Alligator mississippiensis: one gene and its partners. The protein of the gene in region 2 purifies or fractionates together with the protein of the main gene of each other region. This does not show direct contact. Links are inferred from orthologs where the notes say so. Each region holds a gene or a part of one and is shown on either strand. Other genes may lie near its edges.

Region 1 (7,256 bases), on a different chromosome or scaffold from region 2:
CCACCAAAGCTCAGTAGTGCCCCATAAGCACTCCCTGGCAAGGAGTTAACTGGTGGAACGCAAGCTGAAAGCAGCTAAGCAAACAGATGGACCTACCATCAAGTTTCTTCCATCCATACCGCTTCCCAACTCTGTGACCACCCTTGTTTTTTGGGCTGGTCCCGGATTTCTTGGATGCACACCTTGCTGCAACTGCGCTCACCTGGGGAGCAGTCACGACTAGATTTGGATGAAGAATAAGTACAGAGAAAACCCAGTTAAGAATTTCCACTGCACATTCAAAATACATCCAGAAATTCTAATTCCAAAACATGACTGCATTTCCTTTGAAATGCAAAAAAGGAAAGCTTTGGTTTGTCAGTTCAACATAGAGACAAAGACAGTAAAAGAACTGAAGAGGAAATCTATTATGAAGTCTACCTCCTCGTGTACCTCTCTTCTGCATGGAACCAAGCCACATGGCCCCCGTCCATTATGAAAGAGAAGAATTCTCAGTAGTGCACTTGGAAGCACAAATAGTAACACTTCTTCTAGCATTTTAAATTCCTAGGCTCCAGATGCAGTTAGAGAAATCAACCACCAATTTAATTTAATGACCTGAGCACTGGGATTCAGGACTCTTGGGAGTTTATCTTCCACTAAATTGCTCTGTGAGCATGTGGCAAGCATTCTGTGCTTGGTTTCCCCACCCCGTGTCCTTGGTTTTACTATAAAATACTTTAGCAGTCTGGGATAAGTACCTTTAAAAATGCAAAGTTGTACTAAGACCCAAGCTGAGGGAGGTATATAAGTGCTTTCTTGGAGTCTTGTATCAGGGTTTTTAACCACGGTTAGAAAAAAAAAGATAGCTGCAGTAAGTGGTTAGTCTTTTATTCTCTTTGAAACCCCATATGTGCCTTCACATCACAGTTATGCCATTTAAAATTGTATATACAAAATCCAGTCAGTAACTATAGTCAGTTTTTTCAGATCGAGATCTCTGACCCTGTTATGAACTCTGGTTTGTCAGAAATGCCCCAGATCGAATTAAGTCTTTTCCATCTGGTCAGCAGCTATATTCCTTTCTTTTAAATCCCTCCATTCAGCTTTCTATATGCTGCTACAGAGTGGTTTCATTTCCCTTATTCCCAGAAAAGCGCTGGATTAATTTTATATTAATTAAATGATCACAGATACTCAGCACCTAACAAAGATTAAGGGTGAAGGGAAAGCTAAACTACAAGGTACCATTCATCTAACATGTTTAGAATATGTTAAGTAAAATGACTGTGACTTGGGTAAATAGCAGGGAGGTAGGAAAAAGAAGTAATGAGATTTGCAGACCTTTCTGCAGACGAATGTAATCCCTAAAAAAATACCTCTCTTTGCTCTCCAAGGTATTTTTTTTATTTCCAAGTAGATGGCAAAGCCCTTTACAAACAGCAATTAAGGCTCACGGCACTAAACGAGGTAGGAAAGCATTATCTACCTATTATGGACAGAGAAATCAAGGCACAATTATACAACTTGCTAAAAGCTTCCCTGGAAATCAGAGGCAGCGCTCCAAGGTCCTGAGCTCCGCGCAGAAAATGTCTCCACTGTGCTTTACGTTTTAAGCTTAGACTCCCACTCCTTATTGCCTCTGTGCCAGCCCCAGTTTCTCAAATGAGAAGATGCCAAAACCGTTTCATAAAGTAGGCTGTAGCCCACGAATGCTCCTGCCTCTCTGAACAAGGCATTTCAGCAGAGGACCAGTCTTTTTGGCAGGCATGCCACAAATTAATCCCACACACTCCCCGAGTGCCACTCCCACCCCCTTCCCCTGCCAGATCGGCTGCTCAGCTTTCTGTCCCCTGCCCTGTACCCCTAAGCCAGTCTGCTGCTCTGCTTTCTGCTCCCTGTTCTGTGCTCCCCAACCTGATCTGCTGTTATTTAAGCTTTGTCTCCCTGCCCTATTTGCCCTTATGCTACCAGTTCTTGCCCTGGTCTGCCATGTGCCACACAGAGGCTGCCTGTGCCACGTGGCTACTCCAGAGCTAGTCTACAAGGCTGCCACCCTGCTCTGATTTCTGCTCCATTTCAGCTTTGTTCGCTTTACTCTGGTCAAAGCCAGACCCCCCAGGCTCCACGTGAAAACTGAGCGGCAGCAAACATGGATCAGACACAAGGCAGCAGGTCGCTGGCCTGGCTTCCAGCCACCTCATCTGTCCCGGACTAAGCACCACGGCAGTCGCAGGGTAACAGCAGCGTGGCCTGTTGTGAAGAGTTTGGGAAGGAAACCAGGTGTCAGCTACGCTGAGTGTCCAGGCAGTGCTGCCCCACTGAGCCAGGTGCACACCCGGCACGCATCCTGGTCCCTAACCCGAGTCAGATCGCTGCAGCCTCAGGCAGGTCTGCCCTGGGGCCGGGAGCAGCCGGTGCCTCCAGTGTTCGGAACGGGCAGGTCCGTTCTCCTGGCGTGGTCCGGCCTTGCTGGGGGCTTTTCCTCGCTCTGTCTGCCCGTCACAGCGCACTCCAGCTCGGGGGCATCCGACCCAGGGCAGGGGCAGCACAGGGAGCGGAGGGGACGGGCAGGAGGTGCAAGACAGGGAGTGGAAAGCGGAGCAGCAGACAGGGTGGGTGGAAGCACAGGACAGGAGATGCAGGGGAGGAAGCAGAACTCGGAGCAATCGATGGGTCAGGGAACAGAACTCAGAGCAAGTGACGGGGCAGAGAGTGGAGCACAGAGCAGCCGATGGGGCAAGAGGTGCAGGGGAGGAAGCAGAACGCAGAGCAGTCGATGAGACACGGAGCAGAAAGCAGAGCAGCCGGTGGGGTAGGGAGCGGAGCACAGAGAGCGGTCGATGGGGCAGGAGGCGCGGGCTCCAGCTCTCCCCCGGGGGGCACCCCCCGCGGGCAGCACATGACACTCGCCGCGCGCCGTCCCGCCCGAGCCCCGCCCCCACTCACGCAGCCGGCTCGCCCCGGCCAGCCCCAGCCGCACCAGCGCCGCCATCTTGCCCCGGCGCTGCCGCTTCCGGCGCGCGCTACTTCCGCTTCCGGCAGGGGCGGGGCGAGGCGAGGCCGGCGGGAGGTTGAAACGCCGCCATGTCCCTGGGCTCGGACGACAGCGAGGATGAGGTGCTGCCGACCGCTAGCGTCTTCCTCGGGCCGCTGGGCCGCGCCGCGCCCATCTCGTTACTCAGCAGCGACAGTGAAGACGAGGCGCCCCCGACGCTATGCGAGCGGCTGCGCAGGAAGTTCGCGGCCCAGTCCTCCGCCGTCCCTGCCTCCCCCGCGCGCAAGGCCCCCGCCCCCGCCTGCCGGCCCGCGCCCCCGCCCCCGCCCCCTGCCCCGGCCCGGGGGCAGCCGCGGGGCCAGGACGGCCTGAAGCAGGTGGCGGCCGTGCTGGACCCAGGTACCGGCCCCTCACACCCTCCCCCTCCCCCCCCGGCCCCCGAGGATGCCCCGGCCTCCCCGGCCCCTGACGCCCCCTCAGCTCTGTTGCAGGCGGACGGCGGAGGGCAGGTGCTGAGCGCCCTGCAGGCCCTGGGCTGCGCCTGCGCCATCGAGCCGCAGCCCGTGGCTGGCAGCATGGCCTGGAGAAGGAGAGCGGCGGGGCCTGCGCAGGTACAGCACCCCCACGGCCCCTGCTCGTGGCCTCAGCCTGCGGGGCGCGGAGTCGCAGGCGGGCGGGCGGGCAGGGCGCGGGTCTGCCCCGCGGTGCCGTGTGCTTGGCGAGGGCGGCGCTGCTGAGCGGGCGGAGGGCGGCTGCCCGCACCCACCAGGGAAATAGCCTCGTCTCCTGCCGCCTCCGGCTCCCGCCCGCCGCCGCGGGGAGCTGAGGAACCGGCGCGTCTGGCCCCGCAGTCGGGCAGTTGCCTGAGAAGACGGAAAGCCACAAAGCCGAGGGCGAGCGAGATCTGCGCGGATTTGGACGCGGACTTAGAAATACTCCTAATGCGCGAGCCGAGGGGTAGCTCTCGCCTCCCCGTGAGCTCCACAGCATCTCGCACGCGTCCGGGCTCGATGCCTAGAGAGCTGGAAGGACCGCAGCAGCTCCACGCGTTCGTCCAGACTGTCGCTGAAGCGCCTTCGAGCGAGCGAGGAGATGGGCTTATTCTGTTCCTTGTTTTGACTTTGGGATTCCCTCAGGAGACGGCTCGCTGTTGTCATTTTGGGGAAAGAGCAGGCCTGTGGCTTTGCTTTCATGCTATGTGATATACTATGTGGTAAAGGACTAAGTGATGCTGAGCAGCTGTTGATGAACCTTAAAACCAAACCATGGAGGTCCCTCTTGCCTTGAAATAGGTGTTGTATTTGGGCCCAAGACCTCAAAGTCTCATTTTTCTTGGGACTGGATGCTGGCATCAAGCACAGACCTTATTTTCAACCCACCTTTGGGAGTAGACCTCGGATGGTAAATAAAGGACTGTCTCTGGTGGCCTGATTCAGTCCCTGACAGACAGGCTTTTGCTTTACCCTCAAATATTTGTGATCAAAAAATATTCCCCAAGTTCAACCCCCCCATTTGATTACTTACCATGGAAGACGTGTTCTGTGTTGTTTAAGCTTCAGCTGCGTAGAGGTCATCCCTCAGTGTGAGAATGAACAGTCCTAGCCCACGTACCAGAGCAGCTGTAGCATTTTGTCTGTCGGTAAATCCATGGGAATGGACAAGTTTTCTTTAAAAGCCTGAAATGGATTTCTTTTCCCCAGCTTGCAGATGCCTTGGCTTGTTCCAAGGTTGCTTAAAGTATCAGGAAGTGGGTATCAAAAATAAGAAGACCAAGTGATTTGGATTGGCTTGTGCCCGCACTAGTTCTTTGTACTGCTCCAGTAACACGAAAGGGACCTAGAGCTGGTCCTGGTGAGCGGCTGGGGAATATCGTTGTGTAATGCACCCCCCCAGGGGAAGAATACAAAGTCAGGATTGCTGCCTCTGTGCCTCTTGTTACAGCTAGTCTGTGTCCCGTCCCGTCCCGTTTTCCCCCCCCCCCCCCTTCCATGTGGTAAGCTGTGCGGTTATTTTGCACCACAGCAAAATAACCTTACTGATATAGATAGGGAAAACAGGTCAGGTTTTGAGCAGCTGCCTTGATGCTTCTGGTTTCTCTTATTCTGTGCTGGGTGTGAGGGTTTCTTGTCCTGTAGCTGTAGTCACCCACCAGCTGTCAACTCGGAAATGCAAAGTGCTGCGGTTCCATTAGCTTGTGGTTAACCCATAACTCCGTACTGTGGGGTGCTTCTGAATTAGTCATTCTCTTGTGTTAAAATCTCATTGTACATCTCCAAAATCCCTGAAACTCAAAAATTTTTAACCCTGGTTGCAAGGGTAGAAATGTTGACGTGTCTCCTTGATCTAAGTGAACCCTGTTCCTTTTTTTTAATCTCTCTTGGAATGGTCCCTAAAATGGTCTCCTCCTTTTGGCCTTGCTGCTTCTGAAATCCTTGTTGCTGCCTTGCCTCCCTTTCTGCGCTAGCTCAAATCCTTCTCTAGTGCGAGTCTTAACATGCCCATTTGGCATGCTGTTCTTCCAGGACCTGGGATCGTTTTGCCTGCCTTCTCTGTGACCTTTGCTGACATCCTGTCCCTCTTGAAATTTGTTTCAGGGTCCCTTGCTGATAGCTATGCTCCTCTCCAGCATACTCCCCGCTGTACTTGTGAGCTGGTGACCCCATACTTCCCCAAACGCACACTTCAATTTCTTCTCCTCGTTCCCCAGAGGTGTTAGCTGATACCTCTGCTCTGCGGTTTGCTCCCCACTTTTCAGGCTGCCTTGGCATTTCCACTTGATGTCTCTAGCATTGGTTCTCTGTAAAGTAGTTTGATGCTGTATACGAATGTCAGATAAACCTGTGATGGGTTATCTGTGTTCTCAGACCCTTACTTTCTACCAACCCCTCTTAGTGCTCTCCTCTTAGTTGGCCCATTTCTCTGCTCCCTACAGCCTCAGTGGTCTCAGTCTCATGGATATTTTCTCTCTGATTGCTAATAACTGGATGCTGCCTGGGCAATAATTATCACCATCCTGAGCAGCTCCACCCTCTTGCCTCCTAAATGTTGTGGCCATGAGTGGCTGTAAACCTGAGCATCATTGCAGCTAGGATCAGAACAGGACTGTTTTGCACTAATGATTCGATGTTAGCTGTCTTCATCTCTGGGCAGGCGGAAGAAGAGAGCTGGACAGAAGAACCCAACGTCCTTCTTTTGCTTCATACAGAGGAGTTTGTGTCCATGATCTACAACTACAAACAGGTGAGGTGCTGCGTACTTTAATGTGATCTTTGTTTAGCCTGTGTGAATGTTAAACGTTGCCTGACCTTTCACACTGACATGAATAGAACCACCTCTGCTGTGGGACTGGAAGGCAACCTCAGAATGCAGCTGTTTTTCTTCTGTCTGAGGGATTTGATTTTTCCAGTAGTACAGGAACCAGCGATTACCTTTTCCTACTGTGACCTAGCCTGTGTGATTTAAAGGGTTTAACTGGCATTTTGCAGGTGCCTTTGCAGGAAGTCCAGTCTAGCACAGATGGACAGAAGGAGACTTTACGGAGCTTTGTGGCTCGTGTCATGGAGAAGATTCCTGGGAAGACTCTGGCACTGGCTGTAGTAGAACTAGAGAAATACCTAAGGTTAGAATTCTTACTGCAGAGGTTTCTGGTAAGCTTAGCAGAAGTGTTGCCAGTGACTACACACAGAATGACACCAGTCTTCTGCTCTGTTGCTTGTTGCATTTCATACTGGTAAAGGCTGGGTGTTGGGAGCATCTGTAACCAGAGTTATCCTCTTCTGTCAGGGGAGGCTGGTGTTGGGGTAGCTGCAGACTACCCCCAGTCAGCTGGGACTAGAGCCAGAGGTGACCTCTGGGTCTTTTTCTCAGGTCTCACAAGAGTCAGTCACAGAAGAGGCCACGACAGGCAGTGCCAAATGGAAGCCAAAAGGAGGGACAGAGGAAACGGAAAAGGCAGAAGGAGAAGGAGGCTTCTGGGCCAGAGGTGTCCAGGCTGGACGTGGAAGAAGTGGGTAACCTCGGAGCAGGAATGTAGCAACCTTCTCCTTTGCAAGCTCTCTCAATTTCAGGTTTTGCCTGAGAAAACCATCTCTGGGGCAAGGAGCATTTAAACCCCTGTTTGCAAGTGCAGCTGTTCAGGCTAAGCTCTGCATACCAGGCAAAAGCTGAACACCTGGTTCCCCTCCCTGGAGACCAGAATGTCTCTGCTGGTTCCAGATGCCATGTCTGTAATAGCCTCTTCAGCCTAACACCCATCTTCCTTCATAGCCCAGCAGACGAG
Region 2 (7,949 bases):
TAGCTCTCCACACATCAGATGTCTCAAGCCATCCATGTCCACCTTTCAACTTCATTTAATGCCAACAAGGGGATTTACAATAGATACCAGATGCCTAGTAGGCTTAAGATGATCCAAAACTTCCAGTCATCTTCAAGGAAAACCTGTAATGGCCTCAAAGCAACCAACTAGAACACAAACACAATCCTAAGCATGTGCGAGATAAGAGCCTATAAATGATAAAGGACCATTAAAAAGCTTTAATTACACTTCTACTCTAGCCAAACTTAATCAGATCAGTGGTCCATCAAATCCAGGATCCTGTCTGACAGCGGACAATAAGATTTACTTCTAAAAAAAGCCTTTACAAATCAATGTACTCTTTCTGGATAAATTAGTAACTTGTAGATGACTTTCTTAAGTCCCAAACTCATTGCTTCAAATTATGTTTTCCAACTATGAGATCCACAAATTCACTCCCTTTTAACAAATCTGGGTTTGTAGCTGGCTGGTGTCATTTGAAACACCTCATAATGCAAAGTGGCTGAGTGCTCAGCTTCCTCCTGCCTTCTGCTTATCTTGTTGAACTACAAATCTTTTCAACTTCTTCATAATGCAAAGCTTGAAGAGGGACTGGCTGAACAAGGACTATGGTCCGACTTCATGCAGAGCAGATCTGCTGATTAAGACAAAGCTCCAGAGGACTTGTTATGAAGTGGCATTAACAGACCGCTAAACACTTGAGCTGCAATTGCAGATAAGTAACAGGGCTGTATCAATGCCCTTCTGAACCACTTACTATTTATGATAACTGCTAGAAAAAACAACAACAGGTTTGTTTTTTTTAGGACTCAGGCCAACATTCAGAGTGAAAATACACTTTAAAAACACAAAATAATTAGAAAGAAAGCAGCAATGTTGTCTTTAAGCCAGCAGATGTTTCCATCAAAAAGGATGGATCTGAATTGCAAATATATTCACAGAAAGATATAGTTAGATGCAAGAGCAGTAAAGCGCCCCACACCTTTTTTTAAGGGATTTTTTTTCCCCTACAGTTAACTAGCCAGAGCTCAGAACTGTGGACATGCCCTTTAGCTCCTTTTCTCAGGCTGCAGCTCTTCTCGCGCAGTCCTGTTAACACGAGATCGTGCTGGGCTTCTCATTAAAATGACAACCCAGGGGATTAAGCCCAATGCATGCTCTGAAACATTCAGATGCCTTTTAACTATCAGCTGTCATTTTCTTGCATTGTTTCTTTTCTTCAAGTGTGTAGTTCGGCGTTCCCTACAGAACTGGCAAAGTACCGTTTTACGCAAATTTACCAAAAGCAGAATTGCCAGAACTTACAACTTTAGCACCAAACAACAAGCTATTATTCAACGTCCAACTACAGAAGTTGGCAACCACACAGGAAATCCAACTCTATAGAAAAGCAAGGCACTTAAGTTTCAAAATGTGACAATCCAATTAAAAAGTTGGGATCATGAAGTTGAATAGTACAGTCAATTTGTCAAATAATAAAACATCAGACCCTACCCAGCCTCTTCTGGAAAAAGCAGGCCTTCAGTGTCATGTCACCTCCGCATTATACAGAGGCAGACATGGCAGGAATTAAAAGCCACACCTCAGCTGTAATTAAATACCTCTCTTTCACTTGTGTCATAAACCTCAGGATTCAAGTAATTTACATTTTCCTAACGCTCATCTGTGTAACCTCAAGATCTTACCAAGTTAGGGAGGAAAGGGCAAGACAGCAACTTGTTAAAAGCTCCCGGGCAGCTGGGCAGGAAGTAATTAAATTCCAGCGAGCTTGCCCGTACAGCGAGACACGCGGCTGCCCCCAGCTACAGCTCGTTGGTGTGCTGAGCGAGTCGGACACCGCTGGCCAGGCCCCAGCCACGCGGAGCCCGTCACCCGCTCGGCGCGGACGCCCGCCCGCCCGCCCGCCCAGTGACAGCCCGGGCGGCAGCGGCAGGACTCTGCTACCAAGCTGCGTTTTATTAACGCACGATGACTTCAGCACCTCGCCACGGCCCTGCCGGACGGCCCTCGCCAGCCTGTCACAGCTCCCCTCCGTACTGCAGAAAGTGTAGAACAGCCTCAAAAGCGAGGAAAGCTTCAGAAACCCCCTTGGTATCGCGACCGACACCAACGTGGCCCTCGGCTTCTTGACGCTGCTCCAAAAGGGCTCCCGCGGGCAGCGCGCTCTCAGGCTTAAATTCCCGCTGGACGTCAGTCCTTCGTAACCGGCGCTGCAGGGGCCCGAGCTCAACTCCGGAAAAACGCGCGGCGCCGCCTCTCGGCGCCGACGGCATCGCGAGTCGGTAACAAAACCCCCGCGCGCCTTCGCCTTCCCTTCCCCCAGGGCCGTGCCGGGCCGTGCGGCGGGTGTAACGCGGGGGCTCCGAGCCCGGCCCGGCTGCCGGTGACAGCGCCCGAGGGGTGGGGGGGCAGGCTCACCTGTTGATGAAGCCGTAGCCGTTCCGCACGTTGAACCATTTCACTGTTCCCAAAACCTTCGTTGCTGCAAGAGAGGAGGCGGAGGCGGCGGTGGCGGTGGGGCCGGGCACGTGGCGGCCGCACACAAAGGCCGCGCGTGGCGGACATTTTGAGGCTGAGGCGCCGCCCCGCCCCGCCCCGCCCCCCCCGCGCCACGCGGGGCCCAACGGCTCCGCGCCAACGGCCGCCCGCGCCCGCCCCCCGCCCCTCCGCGCGGCCCCGCGCTCACCGATGACCTTCTTGTCCCCGCCGGCGGGAGGCGCCGCCGAGGCCAGGCCGCCGCCCCCGTTGCCGGAGCCGCCGCCCGGCTTGGAGTCGGCGGGGGCGGCGGGCGCCGCGGCGGGGAGGGGGGCGGCGGGCGGCTGCGGCTCGGCCTCGCTGCTCATGGCGGCGGCGGCGGGGTGCGGACGGTGGTGGTGACTGGCTGCGCCGCTCCGCGGGGTCTGATGGTGACTGAGGCCGGCCGGGGGCTGCTCCCTGCTCCGGGCTCGCTGGGCTCCGCTCTCCGCTCCCGATCCCGATCGAACTGGCCACAATGGCGGCCCGCGCCGGCTAGCCACCCGCCGCGCCCCGCCCGCGCGCGGCCCCATTGGCTGCCGCCGCCGCCTGTCAGGCGCCACGCGCGCCCGTTGGCTGCGCTCCGCCACCGCCCCGCGCGCTCGCTGGCCGGCCCGCTTGCCCTTCAGGGGGCCGTCCAGCCCGTATGCAAGCCGATTGGCGGCAGGGCTTGGCTGTCACAGGCCGCGCGCGCCAATTGGCTACGCGGCTCGTTCCGGCCCGCAGGGGGTGTTTTTTCTCCCCCCCCTTTTTTTTTTTTTTTTTTTTTTTTTTGCTCCCGGGCTGGTTTCCCCGCCCCCCTGCAGCCTGATTGGCTGCGGCCCCGCCGGAGGACAGGACGCGGACATGCCCTCGGGGTCTCGCCCCGCCCCGCGGAGCGGCCGCGCAGAGCGGGCACGCGGAGGCTGCCGGCAGGCGGGCGGGCAGCGCCGCGGGGCCGCGCGTGGCGGGAGCAGGCCGGCAGCCGGGGTGCAGCGGGCTGCCGCGCCGCCAGCGCTTCCCCGCGGCACTGCTTCCCCCCGAGGCGGCGGCGGGGCGCGGGGCCGAGGCTCGCAGGAGGAAGTCTCGGTCGCTGAGCGGTGCGGTGCGCCGCGGCCGCCGGACGGACGGACGGACGGCCGCCCCCGGGAGCGCGGCAGCGCGGGGCCGGTGTAGGCGGGGGCGGCGCAGCCGGGCAGCACGATGGCGGCGTGGCCGCCCGCCCGTGCGGTGCGCCGCCCCTGCGCTGCGCGCCGCTACCGCTCGAGTGACAGGCCGGCGAGGACGCGCGTGAAGCGGGCTGGCAGGCCCCGCCCGCGGGGGATTGGCGTGCGCAGCCCCGCGCGCTCCCCGCCGCCCGCGCCGCGCCTCCACCTGCGCACCCGCACGGAAGGCGTCCGGGAGGCGCTGCCCGCCCGCCCTCCAGCGAGGGCCGCCTGGGCCGTCCGTGCAGCCGAAGCGGTCGGCGCGAAGGCCCGGCCGGGAGCAGGAGGCGCACGCACAGCCGGGGGCGGCGGAGCTGCCCGGGGCGGTCTTGCCCCCACGACTGACCGCTGCCTGGGCTGCGCGGGGTGGGGAGTGCCCTCCCGCGGGGCAGCGCAGGCGGACGGGCCCCACGTGGTTCCCGATGGTGGTTGCGATCCCGCGGAGGAGCGTTTCTTCACGGACCAGGATTACTTCCCCCGGTCAAAAACGTTCCAGGCCGAAGCGGGTCAGGGAGATGGCGGGCGACACCACTCTTCCCTGCAGAGGCGCCGGCACTGGCGCGGGGCCTGCAAGGCCCCTGGTCCTGCGCGGTAACGCGCCCGCGGCGAGGCAGGAGCTCACAGCGCGACCTGCGCATCGGACCCCCGTCGCTGCTGGGGCTGGTACCAGCCCGGGTCGCACAGACACCACCTGCTCGGCCTTTTCTTGTAAGCGGCCCAGGCCGCTCCAGGGCTGTAGCTCGTAACCGCCGCTCTGCGCCTAGTCGCGCTTCTAGCCAGGAGCGGAGCCCGGACGCCGAACCCCAAGGCTCGTGCTACCGCTGACCTGCAGATGCAGCACGCCAGTCCCGGGGGGCAGGTTAGCAGCGTTGATTCCCCCAGCTCGGGGGCCACGCTGACCACATCTGACAGCTCCGGCGTCGAGGGTTGTGGCTCGCCATCAGAAAATCAGACTGGCCCGGCCGGCGCGTGTGCGCTCGGGGCCCGGCCGACAGGCACATCCACCGTACTAGAGTTTTGAGAGGTGCTACACTTTTGCAGATATGAGCTCCCCGCGATGCTGCCCCACAAAAACAGGCGGGGGGGAGGGCAGGGGCACGCGCCACCGGGTAAACACGATAACCCAGGTAACCATCCGTCTGTCAGCCTGACCTTTATCCCCAGCACCCTCCGTGACTTCCTCCCACTCCTGTCGCCACTCCCAAGCCTCCGGGTGCCACAAACCCAGAGCGGAAACAAAATTAATCACTTATCTCTGCATGCTGCAACCTGCAGGGCTCCTGCTCCGTGGGGATCTGGGCCAGGCTGTGCCCCCAGCCCCACACTCGGGCATGTTACCTCCTTTTGCCCCCTCCCCACCTTCCAGTCACCTGACTGGGCTCTCTGGTCACAAGGCCAAGTGCTACCAGTCATCCCAGTCTGCAGACTGGGCCCAGCAGCCCTCGACTCTGCTGCAGCCACACAGGCTCTACACTCCCATGTTAGCTGCTCACAGCCCCTCCTGCAAGCTGCACCCCACCTGCCCTCTAGCAGGGGCCAGGGGTCCCGCTACACACGCCCCTCCTTTATGAGATGCCGGGAGGAGGCCTCTGCCACTATCCTCCTGTACAGCGGCTGAGGGGATGGAGCAGAGCCCTAGGGCAAGAGCTCCCAGCGTGCTGGCCACCAGGAAGGCAGAGCGTGGAGGCAAATGTGCAGTCATAGGGGGCAGCTGTTAAAATCATTTTCTGCTAGAAATAATGGGTGTGACAAGTAACATAATACGACTTCTCACACCACTGGCCCTGATGAAGGGCTGATGTCCAAAGAGCCCCGAAATGCTCTCTCTGTTCATTTTGGGCTCAGGAGCTAGTTTTCTGAATGGGTCTCTAAGGGTCTGGCTTTCTACCGACTCTTCCGTGCCGAGAGCGCCTCTAGGCAGTGCGACAGAGTTCATTTCTCTTTTCCCTCCTCCTGTTCTCTAGTGTCACAAATATTTATTAATACAAAGCCTCTAGGTGAGGAAGGTGCATCCAGGCCAGGCCCCTGCTGTTGCAGCGACCCACATCATACAACCTGGTTCATCAAGTTATATCAAACTCCATCTTAAAACAAGTCTGTTTTTTTGCCCCACTGGTCCAAAGAACAAGGACCCCTTTCCTCGCAGTGACAGCTGCTGGGTACCTGACAAGCCTGTGGGAGCCTGGTATTTTTCCAAGTCTTGCCTCCAGCCTATTTGTATTGTTTCTGCAACACGTGGCACGCACAGAACGCACAAGGCAGAGATACATGCCGTTAACACTTTTACATCTTTCAAATGACTTGCATGACCTCAGCCCTTCCTTTTCAGTGCTCACACACGGTCACAGCAAACTCATGCTCATGAAATCTTTACGCCTCACCTCATCTCTTCCCTAGTCATCTAAACGCAGGGAGTGGCAAGAGTGAAACAAGTGCCTCAAAATGGCCCTGGCAATTCCCTGGACCCCAGCCAGCACAGCCTGCACGGCATGGCTTTGATTCTGCTCAGGAAGAACTGAGCTTGGCTCCTTATTGCAGGGCTAGCGGACCCATGTCAGACTGCATGGCACTCCAACAGCTTATAGCAGCCAGCGAAGGTGCAGCACGAGGCAGCTCTGCCATCTCCTTTCCAACTCGGCCCACACCACATCCCTCCCAAGTAAGCTGGAGGCAGGGGGCAGCTGGTGCAGGAGCTCCTGTACCAGTGAGGCGCTCACCTGCGCAAGAAGAACTTGCCTTAGGAAGCCTCTGGCTACAAAGGTTGGTTTGGACTGATTATGTGGCCTTCAGGACAGGAAAGCTCAACCCTGACTATTCTAACTGAACACACTGCGCACACATTTATCAAAAGGCTTTATTTACATCTGGGACTTGGGGGGTTTTTCTCTCTCTCTTTTTTAAGAAAAAGTTGTAGACCTGGAATATCTGAAACTCCTGGTGTGAAGTGGCAACAGCACAGCTGTAACCTGCAGGATCAGGCTGAGGCAGCTGCAGGGACGCGTGATGTGGGAACAGTGACCAGACCTGGAGTGGACAAGGAACAAGAGCAGTTACAGGAACAGGCGCAGCAAGCAGAATGCACACAAGTCAGTGCCACGTTATCTGAGCTCACAGAACAAAAAGCTGAGGGTAAGAAAAAGAAACTGCGCTAGTAACCCAAAGCCTACTTACACACAGCGCTGCTGTGTAGCAATAGAGGACCATCCAGATACTTTGCAGGCCCCTGTGAAGATGAGGGTCTGTGCAGCATGCGGGGGTAGACAGAGCTGCCCCAAACAGGTGCAAGGAACCTCCCAGGTGCTGCAGCTTTTATTCCAAGGCTACTGCTTCTCCAGTCAGCTACCTGGGAGCACAGTGGAGAGCCAGCTAGTTGGAGAAGCAGTGCCCTTAGAAGTAAAAAAACCCAGCCGAGCAGCTTGTCTGACATTCAGCAGGTTGCAAAGTCCCCAGATGCAACGATTCAGGTCTTACTATACCCAGGGCAGACTGGATCACAACGGTATCTAACCCGACCTAATGGTAGGTCAGCACAATGATACTGGCTGCATTAAGAACAGGTGATGTCACGTGGCAATAACTGGGCCCTTCAGTGGGCTTTGCCGCCCTCATTTGAAGGGTTTCAGCTCCATGGCACTCAGCTCAGGCACTGAGTCTCAAACCTGCCCTGAATTAGGAAGTGCAACAATTGCTTCTCAGGCGTCTAGGTTTACTTGCCTCTTATGAGCAGCATGAAACATTTTGCTCTTCTGAAACTTGGCAGAACCTCAAATCACTAATGCCCACATGAAAGAATCCAAGACAGTAACAGATGGTTTTCCATCACTGTCTCCTCTCAGAAGACTTCTCCAGACAAGCTGATGAAGAACAACAGACCTACCAAGATTTCTGCTTTCACCGCTCTACATTTCACCACACTGCGAGATCACTACAGGCAGTTTGGGTTTGTTATTTGGACCAGTTGGTACGTTCTGGGGGTGGGAAAACAGAAATTCACAGTTACAATATATAAATACCCAACAAGTCAGCAAAAGTCACCACCTGCTTTGAGGGTTAAGAGACATCCATGCTAACTGAGCCTCAGGAACATGGCAACCTGCATGTGGACTGTGGATGCCTCCTGACTGCTGCTCTCTCTCATGAGAGCAGCTTTGAAACCTTCCGCGAGCCCAGCTGACTCCCTGATATGCAGAGCTGAGATGCACGGGGAAGACCCTGACCCTATGAACAGGA
Region 3 (7,502 bases), on a different chromosome or scaffold from region 2:
TAGCTTCTTAGAATAATAATTTTAAAAAGCACAAGCAGCCAGTGCAATTGAACTGTGATGGGATATTCTCAAATGCATTTTGTACGGATCATCAAAACTAATTTTAAACTGAGCTTTTCAACGAGTCAGACACTCTCCTTTCAAATAAAAGCACTACATGTGTAATGAAAACCTGTGTTTAGTCTCCCCCATCCTGCTAAAAATCTCTTGGTATGAGAACACTGTTTGTGCAAAATCTGACTCTGTGTTTCAGATTTCTCACAACAGTCTTCTTGAGCTGCAAATTATGATCTTTCCTTTGTGACAAACTATTTTTAGCAATTAAACTCAAAAATACCTATCTTGGGGGAAGACAAATACTATGCGATTTAGAGTTCCAATCTTGGAACATTTTGTTCATATTAAACTTTTTTCCTCAGTCTTTACCCTAATACATTTTGATGACGTTAAAAATCAGTAACACAGCTGCATCAAAAACTTCACCTTCATTCATATAAGAAACTTTTCTTCTTCACCTCAGCGTTCCATAAACTGCTCTCTTGAGGATGCCCTCAGAAGTCATTTCCCTGCCAAGTTTTACTCACCTCCCTACTTTAAGCATTTAAAGCAATATCTTTCTATAGAACAAAATACAGATGAGCAAAATCTGCTGATAAAAATAAATTTACCAAGATTATTGGCAAAACTGTTCTATCAACTCATTTGTTAAAGATATGCACAAATGGGCTTAAATCCTGAGTTTGATATACTGATTTTTACCTTAAGGGCAATCTCACTGACAACAAGAATACTCAAGGGTATGTAAAGTTAAACTCAATTCTTTTGGATCAGGGCCCTAATGATTTTCATTACAAAAAAAGCAAGTACTGGAAAAAGCAAAGGTGAAGGCATGTTACACTTAAACTAGTTTATTTTTAAGCATTGTGCAGTTCTACTAATTGATCAGCCCTACTAATTGATCAGCACTATTTCTCAAAAAGAAACATCAGGACAGGGACCAAGATCTGCCATGGGCACATCATGAAAACCCGCCTTTCAGTTTCACATGATACCTGAATAAAAATACCTGTATACAATGCCTGTTATACTCAACTCTGGGGACTGAGAGCAGGGTGGATGGAGAAGAAAACAAAAATGCTTGCAAGCTGAACCTTGAGATTTCTGTTTTCAAACGCTGCAAGTTGTAGTCTGCCTGCTAATTACCATGTATTGGTCAAGCTCTTGCAAAGTTATGGAGCATAAAACTATATAAGCACCATGCTACGTACTAATACATTAAGTACAAATGAACAAGGTGTAGAAACTTTAAGTACAATGACAAGGCAAAGAAACCAAGCACTAAGTGTCCAAAAAAAAAAAAAAAAAAAAAAAAGCTTACAAAATCAGGCCCGACAAAAATGCAACTAGAGTAGTTTCATCAAGTATAAACTGTGCTTCAAAAATGCTATAATTAATAGGAAGTTTTCTTAGAGCTGTATATTTTAGTCAATAACTTTCAGAAAGAAAACAGAACAAAACGCAGTACGTGACCATCTTAGCTTAACACCTTTTTTTTTTTTTGGATGAAATGTCATTTTTCCCCCAACCCCATGAAACAACAGGTAGCAGGCCGCCGTGCAAGGGACAACGCAATCCAAGTTCAGGAAAACTTTGGCGTGCCCCCCCCCCCCCCCCCGCTTCAAGATATATGCTTACAAAAAGATGCTCCCTCAGCCTGACAAAGGGTGTCTGAGCCCAAAAACTTGCTAAGAATTTTTCCAACTATTTGAGTTGGTTTAAGAAAAGATATCCGATTTACCCGAACAACCTCGTCTGCCTACAAAAAGCAGCGCCCATCAGCGCGGGCAGGCACTGCTGCTTTACGCCCGTCTTTAAAACCCCGAGCCTCCACCTTGCCCATTCAAACATGTGTCCCGCCTCGCCCCGCCCCGCCCCCTGCCCGCCCCGCCCCCTGCCTTTTCTTCTTGCAAAGGCACGAGGCCCAAACGGAGCTGCTGGGACACCTTTCAACCTTCCCCTAACGTCCACAAAAAAGAAAGAAGGAGGAACGCAAAGGAAAGGGGAGGGCAGAGGGCATTTCATCCAGGGCACAAAGACAGCTTCCTGTGCCCGAGGCAGACAGCTTTGCATTGGAAAGCCTGGCTAGCGTTACCCCAACAGGGGAGTTGGTCCAAGTTAAAAAAAATTAAAAAGGGGGGAGGGGTGTTAATACTCAGAAACCAGAGAAATACAGACCGACAAACAGCGCTACCCCAATGAGGGAGCTGCTCCCACTTAAGGGGGAGGAAGAGGGATAGCCCGGAGAAACCAGAGCCTGGCAGAGTGAAAGGAAGAAATGAGAAAAGAGAAAGGAAAAGAAGAGAAAAAAAGGAATTAGGAAAAGAGGAGGAAAAAGAAATTAGGAAAATAAAGGAAAAGAAAAGAAAAAAAGGAATTAGGAAAAGAAGAAAAAGAAATGAGAAGAGAAAATAAATTAGAAAGGAAAAGAAAATAAATTAGAAAAGAAAAGAAATGAGGAAAGAGAAAATAAATTAGAAAGGAAAAGAAAATAAATTAGAAAAGGAAGCAGCCCCCCGCTAGTGCTGCACCCCCTGCCCCCACCCGCCCCACCCTGCCCCGCAGTCCTGTCTGCAAACCTCCCGGCCCCGGCCCCGGCCCCGCTCCCCGGCGCGGCGCGGCGCGGCGCGGCGCAGCGCAGCCGGCGGAGGAGCGGGCGCGGGAGCGGCCCCGGGAGGGGGCGGGGAGGCGCCGCGGCCGCCGCGAGGCGATTGAATGAGGCCGCAGAAGGGCGCGGGGCCTAGCCGGCAGCATGCTGCCCGCGCCCCGCGCCGCCCCCCGGCTCCGCCAGCGGCCCGCGGGCCCCCCGCGCGGGGCTGGGCCTCACCTGGGCGCTGTTGAGCGCCATGGCGCCCCCGCGGCCCCGGCTGCTCAGCGTCGGCTCGGCCCCTCACGCCGCGGCCCCCGCCGCCGCCATCTTGTCTCCCGCACACACCAGCCGGGCGGGCGGGCGGCGCACTGCGCAGGCGCGGGGCTCGGCCCGGCCCGCGGGGCGACGTCTGCGCATGGCCGGGGAGGGAAGAGGGAGGGGGGCAGTGCGCAGGCGCAGCTCAAGCCCTAGAGGGGCGGGGCTGGGCTGGGCTGCAAGGAGGCAGCGTGCGCAGGGCTGGGGGCCTGGGAAGGACCTTTGCTGCCTGATGAAGGGTGTCTGCGCCCAAAAGCTTGCACTTCAAAATTATTATTATTATTATTATTTTTTTTTTTGCAAAAAATCTAATAAAAGATAGGCAGACAGGGTTCCTTGGGTGAATCTGATATCTTTTATTAGACCAACCCAAATAGTTGGAGAATAGTTTTTAATAAAAGATATTATCTCTGATTGCTTTCTCACCCCTGAGGCATGCACAGAGCCACGAAAATATCCCCTGCTGCTTTTCTACCTTGGAGAACTCATAACACCAGCAGACTCTCCCTATGCCTGGGTGTTTGTGCCCAAAACCTTGCAAAGAACAATTTTTTCCCCCAACTATTTTGTTGGTCTCATAAAAGAGAGAGAGAGCTGCGTCTGCCCATGCCTCTGAGCTTGAGGCTGACCCAAGCAGCACCGTCCTCATGCTTTGCTAAGCACCATGGCTGGTGCTCTTACCCTTTTATGATCTGTAAAAGTATCGCCACTCATGGGAGAGGTGATATTTTTTATTAAACCAACTAGATTTTTGCAAAAAAAAAAAATCATTTGACCCCAGCTGCCTTCCTGCCCCTTGCAAAAATCTAGGTCGTCTAATAAAAGATATCACCTCTACCAGCTATCTAGGTTGTAGCCATATTAGTCTAGAGGAAAAGGCAATCAGGACTTGTAGTAGAGATGATATCTTTTATTAAACCAAAATGGATTTTTCCATCTATTGACACCTCTGAAATCTTATGAAATATGAACTTTCGTTTCTACCCAAGAGAATTTGTACAATCTTCTCCAGTGCCTGATGAAGGGTATTTGTGCCCGAAAGCTTGCAATTAAAGAAATGTTTTTGCAAAAATATTGTTGGTCTAGTAAAAGATATCATCTCTACCATGGGTCCTGATTGCCATCACCTCTACCACAAGTCCCGATTCCTTTTTGCCTCTGAACTGACATGACTACAACCTGGATACCAGTAAAAGTATCTGCGCATAGGCAGCCTTAAAGGACAGGCCTAGAGGCACAGCAGGCTCAGAGAGAGAAATCTGTCCTACCTCCATAGTTAGATTTGGAGGTGATCAACTGAACTCACTACTTGGGTGAGAGAGATTTTAGGAAAGCTTTCAGAGCACCAAGAAACCAGGGCCTGGCCCTGGCAGAGACAATTAGGCTTGCAACACAACCTCTGCCCACATATGCACACACCCCTCTCTCAGGTCTCAAATAGCAGCAGAGCTTGAATTAAATAAAGGATAGCACCCCCCAAAAAAATATTCTTGCCTCTCACACATTTCCTAGACCATTGAGGCTATGTCACTCCAAAAATACTCTGTAGTTCTCATTTATCCTGGTTCTGTGCAAGCTCAGGGTGATTCTTCCTCTTGCAAAGCTGCTAATAGCATGTGTAAAGGTCCTAAATTGTTCTATGCGCCCCAGAAAATAGCACCTCAATGCTAGTCTGGTCCCCCCCACCCTCACAATGCTATATCCCATGCGTGAAGGAGTTGTCTGCTCCATTTGACAAACTAAGTGAGCATTCCCATTCACTGCATCACGGCAAAGTAGACGAGCTGCCATATGCAGTTGGTGAGCAGGCAGGATAACGGGTAGTATATCTGCAATGTATTAATAAAAACCCCGATTAAGAACATACACACGTGCGGTCACGGGCTGCCTCCAGAAATGTAGAGTGCACGCCACGACGTCCCAGGATACGCTGGAGTGCAACCAAAGTTTTGATGTTTGCCTTCACCACTGAAACAATTAAATCCTAATTGAACTTTGGGAAAAAATGATGCATGAAGACAAATAGAAAGGAAAATACAGGCATATGTAGTGACATACTGGGCTTTTCCTTTCCCTGCAAAAATCTCCCGACTGATTTTTTTTTTTTTAATTTAATCTTCACTTTTTTGCCCGAATAAAAATATTGTCCCTGGCTGTTACCAACAATTTCAAGTGAAACTATGAAATGAAGCATTAGAAGAACTGAAATACCCATCTCTGCTGAGCTTACGATTAGGGTTGAAGCTAATATTTGATTATTCTAGGAGTAACATTTTCCTCCATAAAAGCACCAGAGATGGAAAGCTTTTAGCCACCTTGTTTTGATAAGAGGCCTTACCCACTGTGCAATTCAGGTGAAGCTGCACTAAGTGTGCATATACCAAAGCATGAGCAACTTGATGGAATAAGGACTTAAATTTCTCAGCAGATTATTTTTTTCTGTATTTGCTTTTGTACCTTTTCTCTGCCACACCCCAGCCCTGCCACTCCCTCTCCTCTGTTTCTGACAAGTGTTGCTGTTTTAATCCGGGCCGGGAAGAAACTAGAAGTAGAAAACATTGCATGTTATTGAGGAAAAACAAACAGCTTTAATAGTTTTAAGGCTAGGCTGAAAAACAGTCTAGGTGTTTATTTTACAAGGAAACTAGTGGGTAGGTACAAACTCTTGGAAAGTTTACCTTTGTTGAGGGCAAGACCCATGTCAGGCTAGAAAATTTGCTCAAGTAAAAGCAAGCAGTTGACAGGGAAGGGTGTAATTATAAATGGCTGAACTTATAGATGAGAATGCTGCAGTATCACACCACCCACCAGTTTTTTAGTTAATTAATAATTATTCCAAGCAGTAGCTGATGGGGAAAAGGTGTGTGGTTAAAACAGTGATGCAAGCCATAAAAGAGTACCTCTGGCTGAGATTAGGGAACCAAACTCTAGTCTTTAAAACTTTGTAAGAGAATACTTGCCTTCGGAAAAAAGGGGGCTAGAGGTAAAGTAATGTTTGTAAATACAGATATTGTTGGTAAATTATTGGATATTAAGTCCAACCATTCATTAACATAGGATATGTTATGCATCATGCGTAGGATAATCAGTTGTAAAGCACAAGAAAACAAACCTCAGTATACTTTTTAGTTATTATAATTATATAATGTATCCATACAGGATGGCCATTTATGGATATGTCTTCAGCACCATGTGAGTCTGACTAGGTGAGCAATACATATCAGTACTATTGCATGAAGTACACAACATATGTTTCACAGTATTACTCAATTAAATTTATGGTTATAGCCCCAGATGAATAATTCAGCTCAACTGCAACCTCTGATTCACTATAGAGTTAAAAATCTTTTCAAAGCTTTTAGATTAGTAAGAGAAAATATGAACAATTTCCAAACCTCTTTTAAGGGCACAGAGAAATAAAGAGATCCTATTTTTTAGCAACTTAAAATGTTACCTAAACTGTGAGATTCTTTTGTGTTACCCTCTTAAAAAAAAACAAGACACTGCTGAACTGTTTTCATATTGTTACGAAGGGATGACAAATTACTACTAAGCTTCAAAGCCTATTATAGTACCTTCTGAAAGAACTGAATGTTGGTTAAGGTATCATATGAAAATGAACAAATTCTCAGTTTCACCAGGGGTTATCATACAGAGCTTGTCATTTTTAATATTTTTATCTTTGTGTAACACCAGGGGAACAGTGTGACATCTTATTTTTCAAGAGTATTTCATAAAAACTATCTTATAGTTCAGGCAACCATAACAACAGACTTTCACTTGTTGTGAAGTCTCTTTGATCTCAGGTTTTGCCAATTCTATCATCTGTTTGAAATAGTTAATGCAAAAATCCATTGCCCTGTGTCTGTTAAGCTCATCAACATCCAGTACGAAGACTTGCAAATAGCATCTTGGATCCATTTAATCTGTAAGAAATAACTTCGGCCGTTAGAAACCTGTTATTTTTTCCCCTACCACCGGCCCTAAAATAAAAGGCAGTTGAAGATAATTGCCTCCTTAGCTGTTGTACCGCTCAATGTTTCTTTTCTTTTCTTGCACTTTGTGGGTTGTGTGTACTTGCATTAAATAATCCACAGCAATGGCTACAAGTACAGTTCACATGCATTGCACTGTTACGCTCGAATCAAGGCACTTTCACCTTGTATCATTTTGATAGTTCAGATGATGAGCTCAGACTTGTACTCAGATATTTCATACTGGATTGCCTCACCCCTGCACTGAGTGGGAGAACCTAGTAGGTGTGCGAGACCTGTTGCAGGACAGAGACTGCATCAACGTGTACCTTTGAATAGGTAAACTCCATCCCCATCTCGGTAAACCTGCTTCCAAAGTGTGTTTTAGCCTGTCTGCTGAAACACCAAATGATTTGCAACAACAGAAAAAAATGCTTACAGACGCAAGGCACTTTAATGTGGAATAATTCAAGTTAACAAGCAAATCAATTCCAACTAACGACAAGTCAATTCTATCTCCTAAGGATGCTGGCGTCACTTTTATTCTACATTTCAATTCTCTATTA
Region 4 (7,185 bases), on a different chromosome or scaffold from region 2:
CATTACTACTGTTATCCAAGACAGACCAAATAAATGTTAAAATTAACAAAGACAACATTTGTACTTCTACACAAATCTTACTCTTCATACAATGCCCAATTTTGACATCTTATTAGGAAGTAATTTCACAATGCCAATAGCAGCATATTATAAAGCTAAAAAAATGACTGGAGAATTAACTTTATTAATTTTATGTTCCCCATTAAGCATCCCATTGTGTTCTCTGACACCTGTGTTAAAATGTGATGAACCTTGAGCAAGGGATTGTATCATAGATCCCTTTAAATGTATTTACACTTTTTTAATTTGGGAAAATGACTAGACACTTGAGACTCTGGCAAACTAAAAAAAAAAACGGAGACTTATTAAAAGGGTTTAAAAGTTGAAACAATGATTTGGAATTCATCTCTGCCAGTAAAAGGTAAAAAACCCAAGCAGTAAAATAATAAAATTCTGCATGGGTAGAGAATCTACTATTAATTCATTTTTAATTATATATGCCCAAAGTGCTGAACCTATTCTATTTTTTTCCTACATACTGTTATGTTGTTCATGTCACTAATATCTGAACATACTCTAACAGTGCTTTAAGCCAATGTTGCCATTCTGTCTTCTCCTGAGGTAGTGGTGGGAGGAGATTTTTACATAAAGTTAGCTCATCTTGTTTTATTTCTTAAAGCATACATGTCATTCTGTCCATTTGACAAGCCAGGTAGAATGCACTTTGTCTTTGCAGCAGAAGGTGGTAAGGCTGATGCTAGTCCTCTATTCCCGAGGAAGTTAATTCCAGACTAGAATGCACTCCCTGCACAAACATGTTTTCCCATTTGGGCAGAAGATTCCACCACACCAGAACAGCAAAACTGTCAACAACAGTCTCCCCAGAGCCGTAGATAACACTTTAGATGTACTGACTCCAAGCAGCTGAGCACCTTGAAAACATGAAAAGTGACCTAAACTTGATTTTATGTTATAAAGAAAAAGAGCAGAGGGCCAATCCGATGTCCCTACTGCAGCCTACATCACTGAGGAAATATTGCAGCATTTTTACTGTTCAGATTTCCTAAATGCTGATGGCTTATTCCTCAAGTGTACAGTAAACCTGATGGGAAATGACAAAAAGTGTGTAGAATAGACTGGGGTCACTGTCTGCCAGGACAAGATGATGCCAAGGCAGCAAGAAACAGTCTGTGACAGAAGGATCTGTGTTCTTGCACTCCTCACCAATACCACAGACTGAACTGACCAGTTACTATGGTCATCTTTAACCAAAGAAGGCTGCACACTAGCTCTTGGTCATGTTTATGTTTAGACAGATGCTGTCCATCTATAACTGATTTTGTGCAGGCACTGGGATACCTTGGTAATACTGAGATGGCTGTATAAAAAGGTAAAAGTAGAGCAGTTAGTCATCTGCATATGGCTAGCACTTGTAGTCAGTCTATCCAGTAGCTGCACATGGAACAGAACTCCAGGATATCAGGCAGACTACTAGTTGCTATGAGGGAGAAGATCCATGTGAAATAGCACACTAGTTTTTTGCAGTGCTTGTGGCTGGATTCTGTTGCAAATAGTACCAACATGCTGTGCTAGTCCATATCACTCCTTATAAAGGAATTTCACAGTTTCAGAGTGATAGGAAGCCTCTTTTGGTCTATAATACAGCTTCACAGGCTAACAGAAACATTTCACCCTTTGTTTCTGCCTTCTCTGTTCATCTAATGTAGCGTCAAAAATCAAAATCTAGGTGGACAATGCGTACGTAGACAGCCACTTTTAAACAGTATACTGATGTGCAAGGCTTATATACAACAATAATTTGCCAGATCCACAGATCCTAAGTAATACTGCATGAATGCTTCCCTATAACATCATAGGCCAGGTGTCAAACATGGCCCACAGGCCAGGTCTACCCTACACAGCCATTCTACCTGGACTATGGGACTACCAGCAGTTGGACCCCCAGAAGTTGTGGGTCATGACCAGGGGAAAGTGGGCAGTGGGAGGCCTGCTGCCAAATCCATGGACCTCAGGACATGGTGACTGAGGCAACTGGTGACAGTAAGGTGAGCAAGGGCTCACACAGCCCCAGTCACCCTCTGCATGTGATGCCTACCTGCCATGCCCCTGACTCTCTGGCCATTGGTCCCTGCCCCATGCCCCATACTGGAGCCAGAGATGCTGCTGTGTACCCCAAGTCCGAGCAACAGCTACCACCACCACCATCATGTGCTCTGGGTCAGAGTTGGAGCTGCTGCTTCCTCATGACTTGGGCTGGATACAGCCCAGAGAATGCTGATCCAGCCCAGGACACGGGAGGAGTTTGACCACGGTTAGAGGCAGTTATGGAAGACAGCAGAGCTCCACATCGGAGGATCCTGCACAGGGTCGCAGGAGCCACAGCACTGCCGATGCAGATAAGATACATTAGGAACGATATGCCAACCAGAACTGCTGCCACAGATGTTACCTCCCACGTTCCTTTCCTGACATGCACTTAGCACCTGCTACTTGACAAGGAACCCCAAATGGCTGACAGGCCCTGGCCCCTGCCCCACACCTAGCAAACCATACAAAGCCCTTGGGAACATAAGGTTCGCATTCGTTTCCCCAAAGTAAAACGAGACGCGGCCACGCTCCCGGCACGGGACCGAGAGCAGCACGCGGCCGACACATTCACCCGCGCGCGGATCCCAGCGCCTACAGCTGGTCGCAGGCAGATGCCCAGGCCGCGCCGGGAGGCTCCCCGCCCCCCGGGCAGGAAGCGCGGGGCGGCCCCGGGACCCTGCCGCTCCGCGCTGCCCGGTTGGGCGCCGCTACCCGGGCCCTCACCATCGCTGTCGTCGCTGTGCCTCCTCCGCGACATGCCGGGCGGCGGGGCGGCACCGGGGACCGTGAGCGGGCGGGCGAGAATCTGCGCGGAGCGAAGGCCGCAGCGGCAACGGGCGCTTCTGGCGCGCTCTGTTCCCCCTCCCCACTTCCGGCCGGCCACAAGCGCCTTCCGGGGCAAAGGGCGGGGGAAGAGGAGGAAGAGGCTCCGCAGTAGCTTCCGCCGTCCTCTACCCAGCCCGGAAGTGGCTCAGGCGCTACATGACGTGGGCACGCGAGACCCGCGGGATATCTCGGCCCGGACTAAGAGTTTAGTAAGTGCTGCGGTCGCCGTGAGCCGGCAGCCTGAGTCGGCGTCCGAGTAAAAGCCACCTTCTCCTGGGAGGCCCAGCCCCTCCCCTCCCCTCCCCTCCCCTCGAGGCTTATGTCTCCGTGGACTAAAGTGCGCCCGGCCCGGCCGCGGCACTCGCGGCGGTGCCTCCCCGCGGCCTTCGGCATTTGGTCGAAGCCAATGCTTCGGTCTCTCCGGAGGGCCGGCCGGGGCCGGGCTCGGGCTCGGGCCCGGCCTCCTCCACCACGTCTCCGCGGGGCAAGTTCTGCGCTGCGGCCGAGGCTGCCTCGGGCCGGGAGGCAGTTGGCGGCGCCGAGGGCTGCCAGGGGTGCAGATGAGAGACAGGCCTGCAGCCCTGCGCCTCGGGCCAGGCCTTTGGCCCAGGCCCTGGCTACACGCTCTGTATGCTCTGCGATTCACTGGTCAGTTGCACAATAAGTTTAGACCAGCTGCAAGTGTAAAGTAATTGTCCCACCATAAAAATGCCCCTGGCTACAAAAAGAACCAACCAGCAAAAAAGTTCTTGAAAATGGGTGATATCTGTAGCTGGTTTCTATCCAGCTTTCATTTGAATGTACAGCAGCCCCTGAGACGCCAGAGGACCTATTGCAGGATAGCAAGGGGGGACACACTCAGTGGAGATGGGGTATCTGCAGTGACTCGGCTCAGGGAGGTACCCATTGTCTTCTGCGCTGACAACAGACTTGCCTGTTTAAAACCATCTCCTAACCTGTTTGCTTTACGTGGCCCTCGCTGCGAACACCTGGTACGTAGTTTGCATTTTCTGGAAATCTGCTGTGCCACTGAACTGCTACCTGCCTGGTGGAGGTTCAGGCTGTGGGGGTCCTTCTGAAAAAGTTTCACAATAAGAGAGAGAGAACACCAGACACACCCAGAACCATGTCCTGGTTAAGAGTTCTTAACGTTTTTCTTCACCCCATTCCCCCAGCATGCTATAAAACCTCCATGGCTTGCCTCACCTATACCTGGATGCAGAGAGTGGGACTTGGTGGCCACTCAACTGAGCAGCAGCAGTACAGAGCCTCACTTGCCTGCCCACAGCCACCACCCAGAAGATGGAGATGGTGGGGCAAGCCCACTCCCACCCCTTCCTTGGGACTTGCCTCAGCCCAGGGGGACTGGGCCAGGCAGACCCTCTGAAATGTTCTCATGGTCCTCCAGGGGGATGCTGCCCCTCTGTTTGAGAGCCAGTGTTCCAGATGCAACATCTATCTGCCTAGTTCATTGCTGCATCTTGTGGGTTTGGTTGACTTGTATTGATAGTTTCACCACTGGGATAAATGCCTTGCAGCTGCTGTTTTGTTAGGAAAAAATGGTTGCAAAAAGGTTGTGAATTGTAAATAGTTCCTCAACCAAAGCATTTCCAGGATGAAGGGTGTGGGGTTAGACATGCTTCCTTCAGTAGCCAAACTCAGCAGAATTAGCTTCCTGCAAATGAGAGCAGAGGGAACAGGAGGCCTATAGGGAGGAAGAACTGTACCTTCTAGCATCAAACTCTAATCCCCTGTGCAATAGTTGACCCACTGATCCATCACACAGTTGTAAACTGGCCAGGATTTTTAAAAAATAGTTATTGTTTAGGTTTAAAGCCATCTGGCAAAATTAAAGTGTGGAGGGGACTGCACAAGTCTCCTGTTCACTACTTAGTCTGATATTTCTGCTCTCAGTTATTTGATGCTGGGGATCTTAGGACAGATCTTTGATTACTTCTTCCTTGAAATTTGTTGTATATTCTTAAAATGTTGTCCTAATAATAGGATAGAACTTGCAGCTTGCTCACTCTTTTGCTGTTGTAAGACAGTGACAGTAAAAGACTGCAGAGAAATATTTTTTAACAATGAGTTTCTTTTCTTTTAAATGTATGTGTGAAACTGAAATAATGTTACTTAGTGTACATACTAAAACGTTGTTTGCACCTTTTTTCTTTAGGAAACTTATGCCTAGCTCTGGTGCTGTAGCAATGATTTCCTCCTCGGAGCTGCTGGCTGGAGAAGATGAAGTGGAGTCTTGTGTATTAAAATTTCCAGAGCTGGATCTGAAAGAATCTGTTCCTCTCACATCCAAACCTAGGCTGAAAGTGGAATTAGATGCCAGTGTGAGAAAGAAGTATGCATTTGCAAAGAAGAAGGTATGTTTTCTCTCACTTTATTACATATGTTCATTTTATGTAGCACAGAACAATATTCCTTCATTAGTTTGAGTGACTAAATTCATAGAATCACCATTTTGTTCATACCAATTGCCTTACTTCTTGTTATTGTATTTGGCTGTAAATTAATTTGTTGTCATCACATTATTTAAATCAGAGCTGTCCAACTTCTAAGCAGCTGGGGACTGTATGCCCCATGGGATGAGTCAGTGGGGGCTGCACTAGCAGAGGCCATGGGCCCCCTCAGACTGCACCTTGCACACACAGGTGGGTGCTCCCCCAGCCCACTGCACTGTGAGTGAGGACAGGTGATTTCTTTACCCTGTTGTACTGTTTTCCAGGTGGGTAAGTGCTTCCCAATCCCATTGCACTGAGCACACGGACAGGTACTCATTCACCCCACTGCACTGCATGCACAGAAGCAGGTGCCCAGCCTCACCTGCAGCTTTTTGCAGGCTCCTTAGTGGCATCATGCTGCACAGATGTTCCTGGGGCTGCTGGCTTCCCTGGCACCATGGGCTGTGCCATTTTGTGCTGCCCTGCCCTGCTCCCAGAGGCTGGGTTAGGCAGTGAATACTAGTCCTAAGCCCCTGCTGCTGCTGCCGCCTAGAGTGAAAAGGGCATGGGCAACCAAGTTGTGGGAGGGGAGAGAGAATGAGTCCATAAATTAACTCCTTGTGGGCTGCTAGTTCAGGAGCCCTGATTTAAACTAAAGGAGTCAGCAGTGTCATCACCATTTATTTACTTTAAAGGACTGACATGATGTGAAGCCATGACTCAGCAAAGCACCTGAAATCATAGATAAATAAGACGGAAAAGGGCTTTAGCGGTCAGCTAGTTTAGCCCCCTGCTCTGTGCAGTACTTAACCACAGACTTAACTTTAAGTGCTTTGCTCAACAGTGTGGGATTGAAATATGGTGATATATATTTGAGGACTTTGCTGATATCTGAAGAAGAGACTTCACTGCATTAAATTGGTACTGCAGGATAATAACTTCCTATTGCAAAAAAGATGTAAATACAAATTCAAAACTAAGTTTCAAGCCTAGAGCAGGGATTGTCAGCCTATGGCTCCCACACCAGATCCAGTTGAAGGTCAGACTCGATTCAGGGCAGCACAAGGAATCAGGCAGAATGCAGCTGTGCACAGCTGTCTTTCCCCTCAGCAGTTTCCTGCTCTGTAGCCTTCCCTGCTGTCTCCTACTTGCACTTAACCTCATTGCAGTGGGGCCAGGTATCTGCTGCTATACCCCACATGTTGCATTGATCAGTTACAGCATTTGTTCAGACTTAACAGAGATGCAAAGAACAGCAGGTGGTTAATTCTTCAGCAGTGATTTGAGTGTGAACTTCCATTTCAATATGGATTGCTGCCTGGGGTAAATGAAGGTTATTACAGTTTTAAGTAGAGGTGCACCCATATATCAGTCGCATTTCGAATCAGCACAGATAACAGGAAAATTAACATAATTGGTAATCGGCTTTTTTTGGCCAATAATATCAGGGATAAATGCTGCGTGCATGCATGCATGCAGCTGTGGCATGCACACAGCCGGGAATGCAGCCCAGCAGCTTGGAGATCAGTGTCTGGCTGTAAGTCTGTGGGCGAAGGGGCATCAGGGGAGAAAGGGGGTGTGCAGATTGAGGCCCCCATGGTGAGGCAGGGAGTAGGACAGGGGCAGGTGCTGCGCAGCCAGGGCGGTGAGTGCAACTCCACTGGGAGTGGGACAGAGCCATGGGAAGCTCATCTGGAGGGCGCATGGGGTGGGGGGTGGTTCCCTGCCGCTGTGCACACCCCTGAGCAAGGCATGGGGGGCATGTGCCCCCCTGGTTTGTGCACAGCATGAGGGCGAG

Evidence for each region.
Region 1: the proteins of YBX1 (region 2) and MRPL27 purify together in Homo sapiens (affinity purification with mass spectrometry; 3 studies listed by BioGRID and IntAct, with this or other methods). This does not show direct contact. The link is inferred for Alligator mississippiensis from reciprocal best matches to the Homo sapiens genes YBX1 and MRPL27.
Region 3: the proteins of YBX1 (region 2) and USP10 purify together in Homo sapiens (co-immunoprecipitation; 3 studies listed by BioGRID and IntAct, with this or other methods). This does not show direct contact. The link is inferred for Alligator mississippiensis from reciprocal best matches to the Homo sapiens genes YBX1 and USP10.
Region 4: the proteins of YBX1 (region 2) and NCBP1 purify together in Homo sapiens (co-immunoprecipitation; 3 studies listed by BioGRID and IntAct, with this or other methods). This does not show direct contact. The link is inferred for Alligator mississippiensis from reciprocal best matches to the Homo sapiens genes YBX1 and NCBP1.

What each region holds. Positions count from the first base shown.
Region 1 is NC_081831.1:11,348,596-11,355,851, reverse strand, and holds the start of MRPL27 (large ribosomal subunit protein bL27m), read right to left. Parts: upstream 3,009-7,256; 5' UTR 2,975-3,008; coding exon 2,929-2,974; intron 220-2,928; coding exon 97-219; intron 1-96. Other genes in the region: crossover junction endonuclease EME1, read left to right, coding at 3,067-3,376, 3,458-3,588, 6,128-6,217, 6,463-6,596, 6,845-6,983.
Region 2 is NC_081836.1:1,388,533-1,396,481, reverse strand, and holds the start of YBX1 (Y-box-binding protein 1), read right to left. Parts: upstream 3,001-7,949; 5' UTR 2,865-3,000; coding exon 2,708-2,864; intron 2,504-2,707; coding exon 2,440-2,503; intron 1-2,439. Other genes in the region: PPIH (peptidyl-prolyl cis-trans isomerase H), read right to left, coding at 7,619-7,687. UniProt on the Homo sapiens protein: DNA- and RNA-binding protein involved in various processes, such as translational repression, RNA stabilization, mRNA splicing, DNA repair and transcription regulation.
Region 3 is NC_081833.1:72,402,515-72,410,016, reverse strand, and holds the start of USP10 (ubiquitin carboxyl-terminal hydrolase 10), read right to left. Parts: upstream 3,004-7,502; 5' UTR 2,906-3,003; coding exon 2,885-2,905; intron 1-2,884. UniProt on the Homo sapiens protein: Hydrolase that can remove conjugated ubiquitin from target proteins such as p53/TP53, RPS2/us5, RPS3/us3, RPS10/eS10, BECN1, SNX3 and CFTR.
Region 4 is NC_081826.1:152,928,575-152,935,759, forward strand, and holds the start of NCBP1 (nuclear cap-binding protein subunit 1), read right to left. Parts: upstream 3,005-7,185; 5' UTR 2,867-3,004; coding exon 2,833-2,866; intron 1-2,832. Other genes in the region: TSTD2 (thiosulfate sulfurtransferase/rhodanese-like domain-containing protein 2), read left to right, coding at 5,118-5,309. UniProt on the Homo sapiens protein: Component of the cap-binding complex (CBC), which binds cotranscriptionally to the 5'-cap of pre-mRNAs and is involved in various processes such as pre-mRNA splicing, translation regulation, nonsense-mediated mRNA decay, RNA-mediated gene silencing (RNAi) by microRNAs (miRNAs) and mRNA export.